Linked DNA regions of Notamacropus eugenii. The protein of the gene in region 1 interacts with the protein of each later gene in a biochemical or structural test. Links are inferred from orthologs where the notes say so. Each region holds a gene or a part of one and is shown in the gene's direction. Other genes may lie near its edges.

Evidence for each region. The genes of interacting proteins can lie anywhere in the genome.
Region 2: the proteins of F5 (region 1) and PROS1 form a complex in vitro, tested with the Homo sapiens proteins (2 studies listed by BioGRID). The link is inferred for Notamacropus eugenii from reciprocal best matches to the Homo sapiens genes F5 and PROS1.

What each region holds. Positions count from the first base shown.
Region 1 is NC_092873.1:476,828,251-476,836,692, forward strand, and holds the start of F5 (coagulation factor V), read left to right. Parts: upstream 1-2,859; 5' UTR 2,860-3,218; coding exon 3,219-3,373; intron 3,374-6,219; coding exon 6,220-6,311; intron 6,312-8,442. UniProt on the Homo sapiens protein: Central regulator of hemostasis. It serves as a critical cofactor for the prothrombinase activity of factor Xa that results in the activation of prothrombin to thrombin.
Region 2 is NC_092877.1:194,197,432-194,205,873, reverse strand, and holds the start of PROS1 (vitamin K-dependent protein S), read left to right. Parts: upstream 1-4,091; 5' UTR 4,092-4,402; coding exon 4,403-4,481; intron 4,482-8,442. UniProt on the Homo sapiens protein: Anticoagulant plasma protein; it is a cofactor to activated protein C in the degradation of coagulation factors Va and VIIIa. It helps to prevent coagulation and stimulating fibrinolysis.

The sequences.
Region 1 (8,442 bases):
TTGGAGAAGGGAAAGACTAAAAACTGGGAGAGGAATTAGAATGGTGTTCCAATAGTCTAGACAAAAGGTAAGGAAATAGGGCATAGAGATAAGGGGAAGGATTCAGAATGAACAAGACTTGTCAAAAATTTGGATGTGGAGTGTGAGGAAGAATGGAATAGTAGAGGATGATTCCAGATTGCAAAACTAGCAGCTAAAAAGATGGTAGTATCTGCAGCAGAGACAAGGAAGTTGAGAGAAGAGTGAAGGTTGGGAAGGAAACTTAGGGAGCTCCACTGTAGACATGTTGAATTTTAAATTATTATTGGACATGTAAGTAGAAATGCCCAGCAAGCAGTTAGCAATGAAGGACTGGTGTTCAGGAAAGAGAATAAAGGTGGATGTATTGATTCATGAGTCATATTTGTAGATAATTAAGCCTATAGGAGGGGCAGCTAGGTGGCTCATTGGAATAGAGCACCATCCCAAGAGGACCTGAGTTCAAATATAGCTTCAGACGCTTACTATCTGTGTGATCCTGAGCAAGTCACTTAACCCTTTTCCCCTCAGTTCCTCATCTCTAAAATGAGCTGGAAAAGGAAATGGCAAACCAATCCGATATCTTTGTCAAGAAAACCCCAAATGGAGTCATGGAGAGTCGGACACGACTGAAACAATTCAACAATGATAAATGCATAGAACTTGATGATATCACTGAATTGTTTGTTGTTCAGTCTTGTCTGACTTTTGTGACCTCTGTAGAGAGTTTTCTTGACAGAGATGTTACAGTGCTTTGCTATTTCCTTCTTCAGTGCAAACAGATGCTAAGTGACTTGTGCAGGGTTACACAACTAGTGAGTATCTAAGGCTGGATTTGAACTCCAGTCTTCCTGACTTCATGGCCGGTGCTCTATCCATTGTGCCACCTAGCTGCTGAGATCACCAAGATGCAAAAAAGAGAGAAGATAATCTTAGAGGAAATACCTACAATTAGGAAGCAAGAGATGGTTCCTGTTCATGCAAAGGACACTGAGGAATGGTCATACAATGAGTAGAGGACCCAGGAGACAATAGTATCTTGAAAGGCCAAAAGATAAGAATGTTAGGAAGAGGAAGAATCAACAATAACAGAATGTATAGGGAGGTCAAGAAGGTTCAGGACTTAGACAAGGCCATGGGTCTGGCTATTCTAAATATGTTGATAACCTTGGTAAAAGTAGTTTCAGTGAGAATGGTGTAGAGTTAAACTGGTCAACGTTGGGGTCAAGACCTGGGAAGGAAGGGACATGGGGCCAAAGAAGGGGAAACTGATTGGAAGGAAAAGTAGGGGTGGAAGAATTGGAGAGCTAGGTGAGAATTGAGGATTAGATTTAGGAGGAATGAAGCAGAGGATAAGAGACCATGATGGAAGGAAAGAATTTCAGAGTTTGTTATCATGGAGGTAGCATAATTATGGATGACAGTGATATTTAGGGTATTATCATCCTTAAGAGTGACAAAATTGGAGTGAAGATATAGATTGTGAGTGTTCAGGAGGATTAATAAATGGAAAAGCCATGTGTCCTGGCATTAAAGGAATATCCATCTGTGTACCGGAGTCCTCAAGTATGAGGGCAGAGGCTAGGAGGCAGAAGAAGTCTATGAGCCAGATTCTAAGTTGCTGAAGAGGGGAAAATAATGTAAAGGCCTATAGACTATATCTACAGCCAGTATCTGGACAGGGTGTCCTAGATGGATAGAGGGAATCTCAAAAGAGAAAAGTTTGCTGAGCAGTGGTAGCAGAAGGAGGTCCTAAAAGAGAGAAGAATAAAGATTGTATCTGTTACACCTCTGGGCTCTGTGTGCAAGAGATGAGAGGGAGCCTTGAGTGATAGAAAGAATGGTCAGGGGTACATGCCTCCTAGGGACTTCTGTGAGTGCCGAAAGATAGAAAGGATCCGCAGAATCACATGTATATTAGGCAACAGAACCAGGATTCCCACATGGGCCACCGACTCCAAATTCAGAGCTCTTTTCTCTGTGGCCAACACTGATTCCACTCTGGATTGTTAACAATGATGAATTTCATGGGATAAATGGTATGACAGAAGGTCTTTTTGTAATGAGATTTTTGTAAAATATTAAGGAGAAAGAGAGGGGAGCTTCCAGCACATTGGATAAATACTCAAGAGAAATTGTATGGGAATACAAAAAAGGTACTGGCCCTGGTAAAGAGACATGGGTTCATGTTCCAGTTACTTATTACCTGAATGACCATAAGCACACAAATCAGTTAACCTAAGTTCCTGACCTATAAAATGGGGATACTGATATTTACATCTCTTCCCTCACAGGGTTCTTGTGAAGAAAACATTTTTGATCCTCAAAGAGCTACATAAATTTGAGCCAACTTCTGTGGAAGAAATACAGTCACAAAGAATTGCATGAGATGAGAAGGCATAAGTGAATTGTGATCTGCACCCAGAAAAAGAAGCACCATGCTGATGAAATAACAGATCCTTGAAGTAGTTGTTTACACATCAAGAAACTGAGTCACAGAGAGGTTGAATTGCCCAAGATGAATAAATAAATGAAACTGGGATTGAAACTTTGAACTCTCTATTCCTAACCTCAAGCTCTTTACAAAACATGATGTGATAGTGAACATGTCATAGTTTGAAGCATGTGAGAAATTTTCCTTCAGTTCAGGATGATCCCAGAAAGAGAAGGACCAGGGAAAGAGTTGGATCTTTGTATGAGCTCCAGCTAGAGAGTCACGAAAAGAGTGAACTTTGACACTGGCAAGTTTGGGGCATGAGGGAAGGGGGGGAAAGGGGCAGGTTTTATTAGCTTAAGTGGTGCTGTGGGATTGGGAGGCTAAGGAATACAGTCCTCTCACTGGCTCAAGAATTGCTGGCCATTTCCCTGCCTGGAGACTGGGCTCTCTGGCCCTTTTTCTCACTGTTTCCTGCATTAAGAAGAGACAGGGAGACTAGCTGCTACCCTTCACACCTGACTGTTCCACTGGGCTGTGAGCCAGCCAACCACCTGTCCTGTGGAGGCAGCCTCCCTCAATGCCTGTAAGCCCCAAAGAAGGGGGAGGGAATTTCAGTGGCTGCTGTGACTTCTGACAGAACCTTCAAAGGAAAGACATTACTAGCCACAGCCTCCCAGAGCTCACTGTAGCACAAACTATACTCCTCCCCCGAAGTCACCTACCCCAGCGGCTCCTGGGGCTGCTGTTAGCAGGAGTGGAAACCATGTCTCCAGGCCACCCAAGCCTCTGGGTCCTTGTGGTCCTGGGGATTGGGTGGCTGGACTTGGGGCAGCATGTAGCTGAAGCAGCTGTCCGACATCGCTATATAGCTGCTCAGATCATCAACTGGACCTACCGCCCTCCGACCAGCAACCCAAGGTAATTCAAGACTGGGGAAACTGGGGGAGTAGGGTCAGAAGAGAAAATAACAGGAAGTTTGCCTCACTATCTCTCTGGAAAATAGACTCTTTCCTTAAGACAGCTCACACTAGACCTGGATATTCCCTCTTTTAAACTGTAATTGATGGGATATGATGCAACATTCTGGTCATAATGCAATATCACTCCTCTATTTGTACATTTTATTATTTGGGGAGCACTTAATTATTAAGTTTAATGAGCTGGGATCTTTGTATTTTCAGCAAATATCATTTTATTCATAAATTCAATTTCTGACTTAATATGGGAAAAGCACAAAATATTGAGCACAAACTATTATAATTAATCGTATTGTCAACATCCTTCTTTGAATTGTCAAAGTAAAATTATTCCTGCCTGCTTGACTGCTTCTAAAAATTATTTGTTCTTTATGTGCATTATTATTCATAGATCTCAGGAGATAATGTAATGTAGTAGAAAAAGAACACTGCCTTAGGAATTGGAGGATTTGGGTTCAAATCCTGTCTGACAATTACTACCTGCGCAAACTTGGACAGTCATACCCTCTCTGAACCTCATTCACTTTATCTTTAAAATGAGAAAGTTGAATTAGATAACCTTTAAGGATCATCCCTCCTATCCTGAACCCTATGATTTTATTACCTTCGTGTTCTAAAAAGTCCAGATGCAGACTTTAAGATGCAAATCCAAATTGTTTGTAATCATTATTTGATTTCTGGCTTATGAATGGTACCTCCCCCTAAAGAATTACTGTGAGAAAAAGCAATAAATCTATTATTTTATGTTTCTTTAAATTTGCTTCATCAAAGCTACCTGGTATATTTCTTCTTCCTTTGTGATGATCTTTAGCTTCTACATGCCTATGAGAGAGAACTGTCCCATTTACACCAAATCTTGATTAAAATGAAATGCCTTTGAATTTAATCTGAGGATAATGTTTGCTTTTCAAACTGGTCTCACAACTTAGAGACTTTCAAAGGTGAAATGGAACTTCTCTGGAATAGTCTGGGATCAACAAGCAAACCTATAGTAGGTACAGAGTCCAATGAACTGTGCTTCTTTATTTTAAAATTGGGTTGATGGGAATGTTATGCTTATTTCAACCTGAAACGACAACTTGGGTGATTGGGAAAGACATGTTCCTCTTTCAGAGTTGCAAAATCAAGAGTTATCTGCCAAGATATGTCAAAATTTTCTGAGAGCCCTTTGGATTACAAAATTACTTGTTTGCTGTTTGAATGACTAAAATTTGCCACTTAAAAATTTTGGTTGTATTAAATCAATGTTGATGGGATTGAATTGAAGTGAAAGGTGATCATCTACTTTTATACTAATACATTTGAGGTCCTGTTATTAATAGAAGATTCAAAGAAAACAATCATGCTTTCCTGCTTATCTAGAGCAAACTAATTTGGTTGTTGATTTGTCTAGTTTATACTGGATTCAAGCCTACTTAATAACCAAAATGCCATGAAAATTCTTTGCAGAGACCAACTCCATTTCTGATATAACATGATTAGCATGTGAGGGAACTGTGAGTTCTATCCTCCAACCCTGGTATCCTAAAGGGTTTCCACCATAATCCTAGGAAGAGTTATCTCCCAAGCATCAATTCTTGGGGTCCTGTAAAACCTATGGCTAGAATGAGGAAAGCCCCAAGATGATCCAGCCACTGAGGTTCCTTTGTTGGAAAGTACTTACTGGAAAACCTATTTCATTAAATTGAGAAAACACCTTAAATATCCTCCCATTATAGCCAAAAGATAGTTGGAGAAACTATATGTGGCTTTCCAAGAAACTAGATAATTTTGGAGAGGGAATTGGCAAAACACTCCAGTATCTTTACCAAGAAAATCCCAAACGGGGTCACAAAGAGTAGGTTGTGAAAGAAACCATGGAACAAGATATTTTTAGAGAGAAATCATAATAGTGTTAACTTTTCCCCCAAAGTTAAGTTCAAGAGAATGAACATATTAGAGACTTTTCTTTCATTGTACATTAACAGGACCCAAACAGCCTTTAGGAACAAAATATTGTGTATTTACCATTTGTCCTGAGGTAATTTTAAAAAATGAAAATAAAACTTATTCAATTACTTCAGAAACTACATAATTTAAGAGTTGGATGGGACCTTAGTCCAAGTAGTTAAATCATACCTGAAAATTAACGCCCCACCCCCAACATGCTCAACAATTAGTCATCCAATTTTGTTTGAAGACCTCCTCCTTTGGAATAACTCTAATTGTTAAGCTTTCCTGATGTGCAAGCTGATTTCCACCTACTTCTAGACATGCCTTCTGGGGTCAGGCTGACCCAGTATAATCACTCTTCCCTAGGAGAGCCTTTCAAGTACTATACTTGAAAACAACTATCAAGTCTCTCCATAAATTTTCTTTTCTGGCTAAACACACTTAGTCCTTTTAAAAGAACCTCCTATGAATGATCTGAAGGCCCTTTACCATTCTGGTTGTATTTTATATCACATTTTTGTGCTTTGGGATCTCCCCTAGTTCCCTGTCTCTAATTCTGTATCTTGTTGAATGCTGATCAACCAACATCTTTTATGTAGCACCCCACCCCTTCCCTTCCACCCTATTCATTCCTTGGGAGGCAAGAACTATGTCATTTTTATCTTTGCATCTCCAGAACCCAGAACACTTCCTGGAACATTATAGGAACAAATGTTTGCTGAATTGAAAAAAAAGTGAAATGAAAAAAATTAAGAAAAAATATCCTTCCTACAAGTTAATGCAAAAGAGATCTTGAATAATAAAGATCTGTCCATAGAACAACTTTTAAACGAGACTTTTGTATTTCATGCTTAGTTTGAAGCCCTCAGAGCCTACCTTTAAGAAAATGGTCTACAGAGAATATGAAGCAGGTTTTACACAAGAAAAACCAAGGTCAAACATTTCAGGTAAGTTTCTAATAAAAAACAAGTTATAAAGCTAAACATCAATGAGAAGGTTAAACTGATAGACAACTTTTGTGCCCCTGGACATAATAAATAGACCATCCCACCATGACAGATTTACAGGAGAATATGGACATGATTTACAATGGTGGGATGGATGGCAATCAGCATGAGAGGAGGGGGTACTTTCATTGCTGAGATGACAGATCCATCAAATCCCCAAGCAATCAGCAAATAATTTGGGTTTCAGATTCTCTAAATTTGTCCAGAATAGAATCTATTTGTACTAATGGAGACCTAGCTGGAGCTAGCTTATACAGTACTTTAAGGTTTAGCAAAGCATTTTACATGTTATCTCATTTGATCCTCTCAACAACCCTGTGAGGTTGGTGTTTTTATTATCCCCATTTTGTAGATGAAGAGACTGTGCCACCTGGCTGGCTGAGCACTCAGTTTCTCTCAAACTGGTAGGTACTTATGCTCCTTTATCTCAACTGAAGGGCAACTAGGTGGCCCAGTGAAGAGCGTGTTGGGTTGAAGTCAGGAAGACTTTTATCTTCTTAAGTTCAAATCCAGCTTCAGACAGATACTAGCTGTGTGACCCCGAGCAAGTCACTTAACTCTGTTTGCCTCAGTTTCCTCATCTGTAAAATGAGCTAGAGAAGGAAATGGCAAACTACTCCACTGTCTGCCAAGAAAACCCCAAATGGGGTCACAAAGAGTCAGACATGACTTAAAAATGACTGAACAACAAGAACAACTTCCCTTCCGAAGTTAACATTCAGTGATTCTAAACAGGAGAATATTAATAATGATATAACCAGGGCTAAGTGAGTTGAAGAGGTATCCTAGGAAACTGTTACCCCCATCAAGAAGAACAGTTTTACTTGTTCCTGTTTTGTTTTCCTTTTCTAATTTTCTCTTTTCTTTCTTTTCTATGTCTTCCACCCTCCACTCTAGCCTGTTGGAACCAGCTCCAAATCACTTGGGAGAGCTGACTCTTAAATTTTCAGTGTGAGCATTTACATCTCAGAAACAGGCAAATAGGACAAATCAGAGTTTAATTTATTGTTTTGTTGATTAGCTAGACTTAAGAAGGTCAGTCAATAAACATTTAAGTACCTACTATGTGCCAAGCACTGTTCTAAGCACTGGATACAAAGAAAGGCAAAAGGAACTCAAAGTCTAATGGGGGAGACAAATGCAAACAACTCTATACAAACAAGCTATAAACAGAACAAATTGGCAATAATCAACAGAGGGAAAACACAAGAATTAAGGGGGATTGGGAAAGGCTTCCTGTGGAAGGAGGGATTTGAGTTGGAATTGTAGGAAGCCAGGGAAGCCAGTAGTTGAAGATGAGGAGAAAGGGCATTCTAGGCATAACAGAGAGTCTGTGAAAATGTCTGGAGTCAAGAAATGGAGTATCTTTTTTGAGAAATAGCAAGGAGACTAATGTCACTGGACTGAAGAGTACTTGGTGGAGGACATGGTGTAATGGGGTGTGGAACCTTCGGTGTCAAGGCTACATGTGGCCCTCTAGGTCCTCAAGGGTGGCCCTTTGGCTGAATCCAAATCCCCTTAATAAAAGGATTTGTTCTGTAAAACTTGGACTCAGTCAAAAGGTCATACCCAAGAACCTAGAAGAATACATGTGGCCTCGAGGCCACAGATTCCTCACCCCTGGACTAAGAAGACTAGAAAAGTGGGAATGGACTGGGTTGGGCAAAAATGCCAGAGAACTTCATATTTGTTCATGGAGGTGATAGGCAGTCATAGAAGTTTATTAAGTGGGGAGTGGGATAGGATGGTATGACCTGAACTTTAGGAAGTTTAGTGACAATTTAGTGACTGAGAGGATAGACTAGAGTGAGGAGAAACTTGTGTTAGACAGACCATCCAACAGACTATTTTAATAGTTCATAAGATGTGTGAGTGTATGTGTGTGAGTGTGTGTGTATGTGTGTGTGTGTGTGTGTGTATGTGCGTGTGTGTTGGAGTGGGGGACTGTATCAGAGAAGAACAGGGGGCTTTATGAGAATACTGACAAAGGTAAAATCAACAGACACTGGCAACAGGTTGAATATAAGGGGAAATGAGAGCAAGGAGTTGAGGATGACATCTATGTTGCCAG
Region 2 (8,442 bases), on another chromosome or scaffold:
TCTCACTTTCTCTTGCTCCTAGTACATTCCACTCAACAGTAAATTTTATTTTTTAGGTATTCTCCCTTCATATTCAGCTCACCCTGTGCCCTCTGTCTATATATACATATATATATATATACATATATACCCACATACATATATATACAAATACATCCATATATACAAATATACCTACACATATATAATATACACATACATAAACACTTATATACACCTACATATATGTGTGTGTGCAGCATACACACACACACACACACACACACACACATGCACATATATATATGTTCCCTCTAACTACCTTAACACTGGAAAAGGTCTTATGAGTTACAATATCATCTTTCCATGTAGGAATGTAAGCAGTTTAACTTTAATGAGTCTTTTATGACTTCTCTTTCCTGTTTACATTTTTATGTTTCTCTTGATTCTTGTATTTGAAAGTCAAATTTTCTATTCAGCTTTTTCCATTCAGACTATTCTAGTCTTCTCATGAAGAATGCTTGAAAGTTCTGTTTCATTGAAATTCCATTTTTTCCCTGAAGCGTTATCCTCAGTTTTCCTGAGTATGTGATTCTTGGTTTTAATCGTATCTACTCTGACCTCTGGAATATCATATTCTAAGCCCTTCAATTCCTTGGTGTAGAAGCTGCTAAACCCTGTTTTATCCTGACTGTATTTCCACAATACTTGAATTGTTTCTTTCTGGCTGCTTGTAATATTTTCTCTTTGGGAACTCTGGAATTTGGCTACAATATTCCTAGGAGTTTTCCTTTTGGGGAATCTTTCAGGAGGTGATCAGTGAATTCTTTCCATTTCTATTTTCCCCTAGGGGTAAACCTGGGGACTCCAGCTTCTGGGATAAGAACTCACTATTTGACAAAAACTGCTGGGAAAACTGGAAAATAGTGTGACAGAAACTGGGTGTGACCAATGCCTGATATGGTATACCAGAATAAAGGCCAAATGAGGCACACAATCTAGGTATGAAGGCTGATTCTATAAATAAATTGGGGGAGCAAGGAATCATTTATTTGTCAGATTTATGGAGAATGGAGAACTTTATGACCCAACAAGAGATACATTATGAAACGCAAAATGGATAATCTTGATTACATTATATTGAAAAGTTTTTGCACAAACAAACCCAAAGCAAGATTAAGAGGGAAGCAGAAACCTGGGAAAGAATTTTTACAACTAGTGTCTATGATAAAGGCCTCATTTCTAAAATATAGAGATCACTGAGTCAAATTTACAAGTATCCAAGTCATTTCCCAATTGATAAATGGTCAAAGGATATGAACAGGCAATTTTCAGAGGAGGAAATTAAAACTATCTATAGTCATATAAATCACTATTGATTAGAGATGTAAATCAAAACAACTCTGAGGTACCACATCACACCATCAGATTGGCTAACATAACAAAACAGGAAAATGCTAAATGTTGGAGAAGATGTGGGAGAGTTAGAACATTAATTCATCATTGCTGGAGTTATGAACAATATGGAACTATGCCCAAAGGACTATAAAAATGTGCATACCCTTTAATCCTGCAATAGCTCTTCTTCATAAAAATGGGAAAAGGACCCACATGTACAAAAACATTTTTAGCAGCTCTTTTTCTGATGGTCAAGAACTGGAAATTGGGGAAATGCCCATCAATTGGGGAATGGCTAAGCAAGTTGTGGTATATGAATGTAATGTAATACTATTGTGCTAGAAAGAATGAAGAGGCGAACTTCAGAAATACCTGGAGAGACTTATAAGAACTGATGCTGAATGAAGTGAGCAGAACCAGGAGAACATTCTACACAGTAACAGCCACAGTGTGCGAGGACTGTTTTTGATGAACCTGATAGAATCCGATTCTAAATCTGATTCTTCTTCACAGCAATGCAGGGACCTAAAACATTTCTAGGGGACTCATGATGCAAAGTGCCATCCACATCCAGAGAAAGAACTGTGGAGTTGAAACAGAATGAAGCAGACTATTTTCTCTGCTGTTATATTTGGTTTTGTTTAGTTTTATTCATGCTTTCTCCCTTTCATTTTAATTCTTCTGTGTAACATGACTAATGTGAAAATGTGTTTAATGAGAATGTATGTGCAGAGCCCACATAAGATTGCTACCATCTTGGGGAGGGAATGTGGAGGGAGGGAGAGAAAATTTAAAACTTATTGAAGTGATTGTGGAAAATTAAAAACAAAATCAACACTGAAAAAAAATAAATGAGTAGCGTTCAGAAGTGGCCACTTGTCAGATACCTGGTAGTGGGGATTTATTTTCAGAATGCATTGGACTAATGGGGCTAAGATGCCTTTTAACTCTCATATTCTCTCATTTAGTGAATCAACCAGGCTTTGCGTGAAGACTTCACTCCCTTCAACAGCAAACAGATGTAGTCTAACCAGGGCAAGGTATGGTAGACTCATAATCTCCTTCATTAAAAACAGTCTATTTCTGTCTAATGTGCCATTAGTTTTCTGTGGCTGCCACACACACTGCTGAGTTTTTAATTGACTAAAATTCCCAACTCTTTTGGAAAGTACGAAATACCTACAATTTTGACATTAATCCCAACTGCTGTATTAAAACATGAATGTTCTGTCCCTTCCTAATTCTATTACTTTCATTGACTAGGAAGTTGGAAGGAAAAAAATCTTTCATCACAGTTCCATGTCAAAGGATATTCATCACAGTTTTCAAGCATTGTACTCAGGAGTAATGGTAAGTCAGTCTATTAACAAGGTTGGAAAGGGAACAGGATCTATGTGAAAAAAATATTTTATAGCTTCTCTTTTTGTGGTAGGAAAGAACTAGAAACTGGAGGTATGGCCATCATTTGGAGAATAGATGAAGAAGCAATGAAATCTGAAAGGAATAAAATCTCATTATGTTATAAAAAATTATGAAATAGATGGTTTCAGAGAAATCTGGGAAGGCTTGTATGAATATAGAAGAAAATGAGCAGAACCAGAAAAACAATTTATACTCTAACATTGTAAAAATGAACAATTTTGAAAGACTTCAGATTTTTGATCAGCAAAATCATCATTTGTGGTTCTAGAAAATGGATGATATTTTTGTGATGATATTTATCATCACAATTTTCTTTAATGTATGGGTGATGGAATAGGTAGGAAGAAGAGGAAAAAATTGTTTTAAATTAAACACTTAATTTTATAAAACAAAAATAGTATAGGCAGTCGAGTCACAGAATTTAAAAGCCAACAGGATCTTACTGAGATTGATTACAATAGCATCACCAATTTTTTTTAATAATCAGCATCCTGTTTTAACAATTCTGCAAAATAAGTAAATATATTAACTTTAAAAATATATGTGTGTATATATATACACACATATATACACATATATGTATAAATGCTATTACACACAAGATTAATTACAGTAGTGGGAACTTTGAGCAGGAGGTATATAGATTCCTGATAGGCTAATAAGAATAGTATTCTGAGGAAGTTGGGATTTTTGTAGTGTAGGTCTTTGCCTATACTTTCGTGTGTTTTCAACAATTTAGCAAAACTGATGATTTTATTTTGTCTCCTCCTTTTCTATATACTGATAATGTTGATCATTTCCGTATCTGTTCCTTTCCTTCTTTTTTCTTGCCTAAATGTTCTACTACATTGTCCGTAGGAACTGAAGCAGTAATTCAGTAGCTTAAAACCCTCCTTTGGGATGAAAGTTTTCGTCTTTTAATACTGCCCTATGCCACCTACAATGCCAATGAATCAGAAATTTCCGTTTCTTTGCCAATAACGAAGTCCACAAACAAGCACACCTAAAAGGGGATGTTTTGTGCAAAATGCTGACTGACCTGTTCCTAGGTTCAATGTCAAAGTCCGCAGAAAGGACGAAGTAACTGGATGAATACAACAGTGCCCCCAGGGCTACCTATTCTGTTTCCATGAACGCCTTTACCGCCACAGGCTGTGACATGCCCAGACTCAGGAGCCTTGGCAAAGTTTTCCTGCTGGAATGTTTTCAGTGCTCTGTTTCCTTGCTAAAAGCTTCCCTTTGCCGCCCTCCCTTCACGTAACCAAACTTCAGATCTGTATGAGGACAGACTGCTTTCAGGGGCAGCAGAGAGAGCAGGGCTCTGTTTACTGCACTCCCTGGCCCCACGCACATCCACCCCCACAGACTGAAAAGCTTCCCGGAAAATGTCCTGTTTCTGGGCTGGAGCCCGGCCCGCTGTTATCGCTTTCCCCAGCAGGGGCTGGGGGACCCAGCTGGCAGCTCTTCCCTCCCTCCCTCTGGCTCGGCTCGGGGACAAAGTAAATAGAGAAGAAGCTGGAGCCGGAGCGGAGGCAGCGCAGGCGGCCAGGGCGCAGACACGCAGGGCACCCCGTCACGCGAGCTGCGGAGGGGCCTTCTCGCCATGAGGATCCCGGGAGGGCGCTGCGTGGCTTTGGTTCTGAGCCTCGCGTTCGTGATCCAGATCTCCGGGGCAGTAAGCTGTGAGTACCCAGCCCCAGCCCGGACCCCTCTGCCCAGCCTCAGCGCTGTTTCTCCCGGGTCTTCCCCTAGCCCTGCCTCCCTCACCCCATCCTCCTGGTGGGGGTCAGATACAGGGGTCGGTCGGGCGAGCATCTGCGAGCTTGTGGCGGTCACTCACTGCCTGCTTGGCTCCCTTCGGAACTGATTCAAGGGATGTCGGAACCAATTACGGATAACGGAGCGAGCTGCCTAGTCCCGCACCTCTCTCCGGCTTCAGAGACCGAAGCTCCCGGTCCGGGCAGGAGGCTGTGCGAGCCCCATTCTCCCTGCCCCGCCCCCCACCAGGATCCATCCCCAAACATCCCCCCTTTCCCTGCCTTTCTGCTCAGCCTTGTGCAATGCCTGTACTTTGAACTTCTGTTGACTCGCGTTGCCGCACTCACTAGAGCAGGAAGGCGGCTAGCTCTTTGGGAGATCAAAAGAAGGCTTGTTTAAAAAACAGGTACCCAAATCGCTTGGTGCCGCACGTTTTAACAGTAAGTGCATTAAAATAGTTAGCTTGCTTTATTGACGTGTTTACAGTAGTGCTCCATACGTTTATACCTTGAATTAGATTTCCTATTGTCTTTTATGGGATGCATGATACGCACCTTGGAAGAGTAAAGCATTTCCGCACATGCAGTGTTAATCTAGTTTCTAAAATCGTGCTACTACTATCCAAAGGATGCCTGAGGTGAATTATCCTAAAGCTGATTGCCTGTGGGATGTTTTCTAGGTAGGTGGGATCCAAGTTTTTCTCTAGGTAGGGCAGGACACATAAACCTCGGACTTGAAATAGCTTTTGATGCTTTTGGTAACTAAAAAGAAAAGATTCCAAATTTAGTCATCCCAAATTAAGAATTAAAGAGATTACCTATAAATTCGAACAAAACAGCACTCATTTTGCATAAATCAAGATTGTTATTAATTTTTTTTTAAAAAATCCAAATGCTGAAAGTTGATGCAGTGTCTAAGAATCAAAATGGAAAACTTCAACACAAAATGACTAATTTATAAGACTCCTTTAGTTTTTAAAAATCTAGATGGGATTTATATGTCAACAGGAATTTGGGGAATTTTCCTGGGAATTTTTTTTGTTTTACAAAGGTAAAAAGAGCAGAAGTCCCTTGCCTTTCCCAGATACTACTTATTTTCATGTTATTATGGAAATTTGCCTACCCTCTTTTTCAGGAGAGTAATTGACCCTGAATATTAGATAGACATGGGGTTTATAGTTATAGAATGATCATCCTTCTCTTCAACTATTGGTTCATTTCCCTCCTAATTCTCATGCTGGGTTCTAAGTGTATCAATCAGAAGGGTATGTTCTCCTCCTTCCTCAAAATTTACTTGAAATGCATAGCATCATTAATAAATCAGTTAGCTCTAAGTCTACTCCAGTTTATTAAGTAAACTGAAAAAAACACCTTTTTTTTAAGCCTCTCTGTAGGATATTGGATGGAAACCTAGGCTTGGAATTAGGAGTACCTGAGTTCAAATTCAGCCTCAAATACTTACTAGCTGTGTGACAATGGGCAAGTCACTTGAGAATTTTTCTCAACTGCAAAATGGTGATAAAAATAACACTCTCACCTCATAGTGTTGTTGTGAAGATCAAATGAAATAATTTTTGTAAGGCTCTTGCCACACCTCCTGGCGCATGGAAGGCACTTCTCTTCTCTCCCCTACAACTTTCTTTCCCCTCTGTCTTTCTAAAACCCTGATCTCTTAGGTTTAGACAAATTATCAGTGTTATCAGTTATGCAATATATTAACAACACAGCAAACACTAGAAAGACATTTAATACTTCAGCAAAGTAGTAGCCATAAGATCATAGCCAGATTCACCTCTAGCCATTAACTGCAACTGAGGACTTTTCCTGAATTCTGGAAGTAAAGCCCAACTCTCTCTCTCTTTCCAGACTAAGTAAAGCCAGTCAAGAATTCTCTTCAGGATACCTTCAGCAAAGCTTAACATCAAAATTCAGTTCTCTCAGCAAATCTCTCTTGAGTCTTTCTCGCATATGACAGCGAACTACTTTAGGTCTTCAAGAAATTCTGGCTTCTGTTTCTCTCTTCCACAGTCTCTCTCTAGTCATGACAGCAACAGTATCCAAAATTACTATTAAAGTTCCTTTCTCCCATGATTTTATACTTTCTTTTAATACATGCTTTCTTTTAATACACATACATGCACATTGACATTTTTGAGTTGTACCATTCTAGAATGTCCTACCCATTTCCCCTCTCCTTTTGACTTCTACTTGAAACTGTTTGTGTTAAATTTCATCTTACCCTTATTTTCTCTATCTCTTCAAAGTCAGTGTTAATGTGTTAATGGGTGGGGAAGTAGTCAGTGCTGAGTTAGTAGGTTAAGGTTACTGGTTGAAGTTCCCGCTATTCATCTGAAGACCAATTCAACTCTCATTTATTGTGGGACATATTTGTGTTTTTGAACCGTTATTGTTGAAACACAAATGCCTTTCCCTGCAGATTACATCTAATATCCTCTAGGTGTCATTAAGGTTAAATGTTCTATTTACTTTAGTAATTTTATTTTTTGTAGATTTTTAAAATTTTAATGTACTTTCATTTATTTTGTTAAACTTTTATTACATTTTAAAAAGATTTTAACCTTCAGTTTTTAAAATTTGAGTTCCAAATTATCTCTCTCCTTTCTGCTCCTCTCTCACCCTTGAGAAGGCAAAAAATATGATATTGATTATACATATAAAGTCATGCAAAGTACATTTCCAAATTAGCCATGTTGCAAAAGAAAAGAAAATATAACAAAAATGAACTGTAAAAAGTATGTTTCAATCTGTACTCAGAGTTTATCAGTCCTTTCTTTGTATGTGGGTAGCATTTTCCATCATGGGCCCTTTAGAATTGTCTTAGATTATTTTCTTATTCAGACTAGCTAGGTCTTTCACATATGATCACACTTAAAATATTGTTCTTACCATGTACAGTGTTCTCTTCGACCTTTTCACTTCATTTTGCATCAGTTCATATAGGACTTCCTAGGTTTTTTTTTTTTCTGAAATCATTCTACTCATCATTTCTTATAGCACAACAGTATTCACTGCTGTCATATGTTACAACTTGGTCAGCCATTTCCCAGTTGATGGGCATCTCCTTAATTTCAAATTCTTTGTCACCACAAAAAAAGCTGCTATAAATAGTTTTGTACAAATAAGTTCTTTTCCCTTTTTAAAAAAAATCTCTTTGGGATACAGACCTACTAGTGGCATTTTTGTTTCAAAGGATATGCAGTTTTATATTCATTTGGACATAGTTCCAAATTGTTTTCCAGATTGGTTGGACCTGTTCATAATTGTACCAATTAGTGTCCCAATTTTTCCACATTTCTGCCAGCATTTATCAGAACTTTTAAAGATTCCAATAAGAATTCTCTCTCCACTGAAGTAAAACACATTTCTACCCCCTGAATACATTAATAAAAAGTTTTTGTGGATGGTTCTGTCTCACAAAATTCATCAAATGGCAGGCAATCTTCTTATAGACAAGCTTGTTCAAAGTTATCTAAACTTGTCCTCTGATTACAGGCATAACAAGTATCTCATAAATTCTATCCAGCTCCTACTCTGTTAGCATAACCTCCCAAACCCAGAGTGATTTCCATGCCTTGATAAGGCACATAAATAAGACTTTTGTAGAGGTATATATGAACATTGAAAGCCTCATAATATACCTGTCTGTTGTAAGGCTCTATGATGAGGGGCAGAAGGTAAGAAAATCCATAAATGTTTTATGAAAATTGACTTTGAAACACGAAGACTGAAAATTGTTTTAAATTTGTTGAAGCAAATAAACTATCAGATTCCATCACTAGTTCTCAAATCACATATGCATGTGTATTTATTTATACTAAAAATATTTCAATAATAAAAATTTAGGTATAAGTCTGACAGACATACT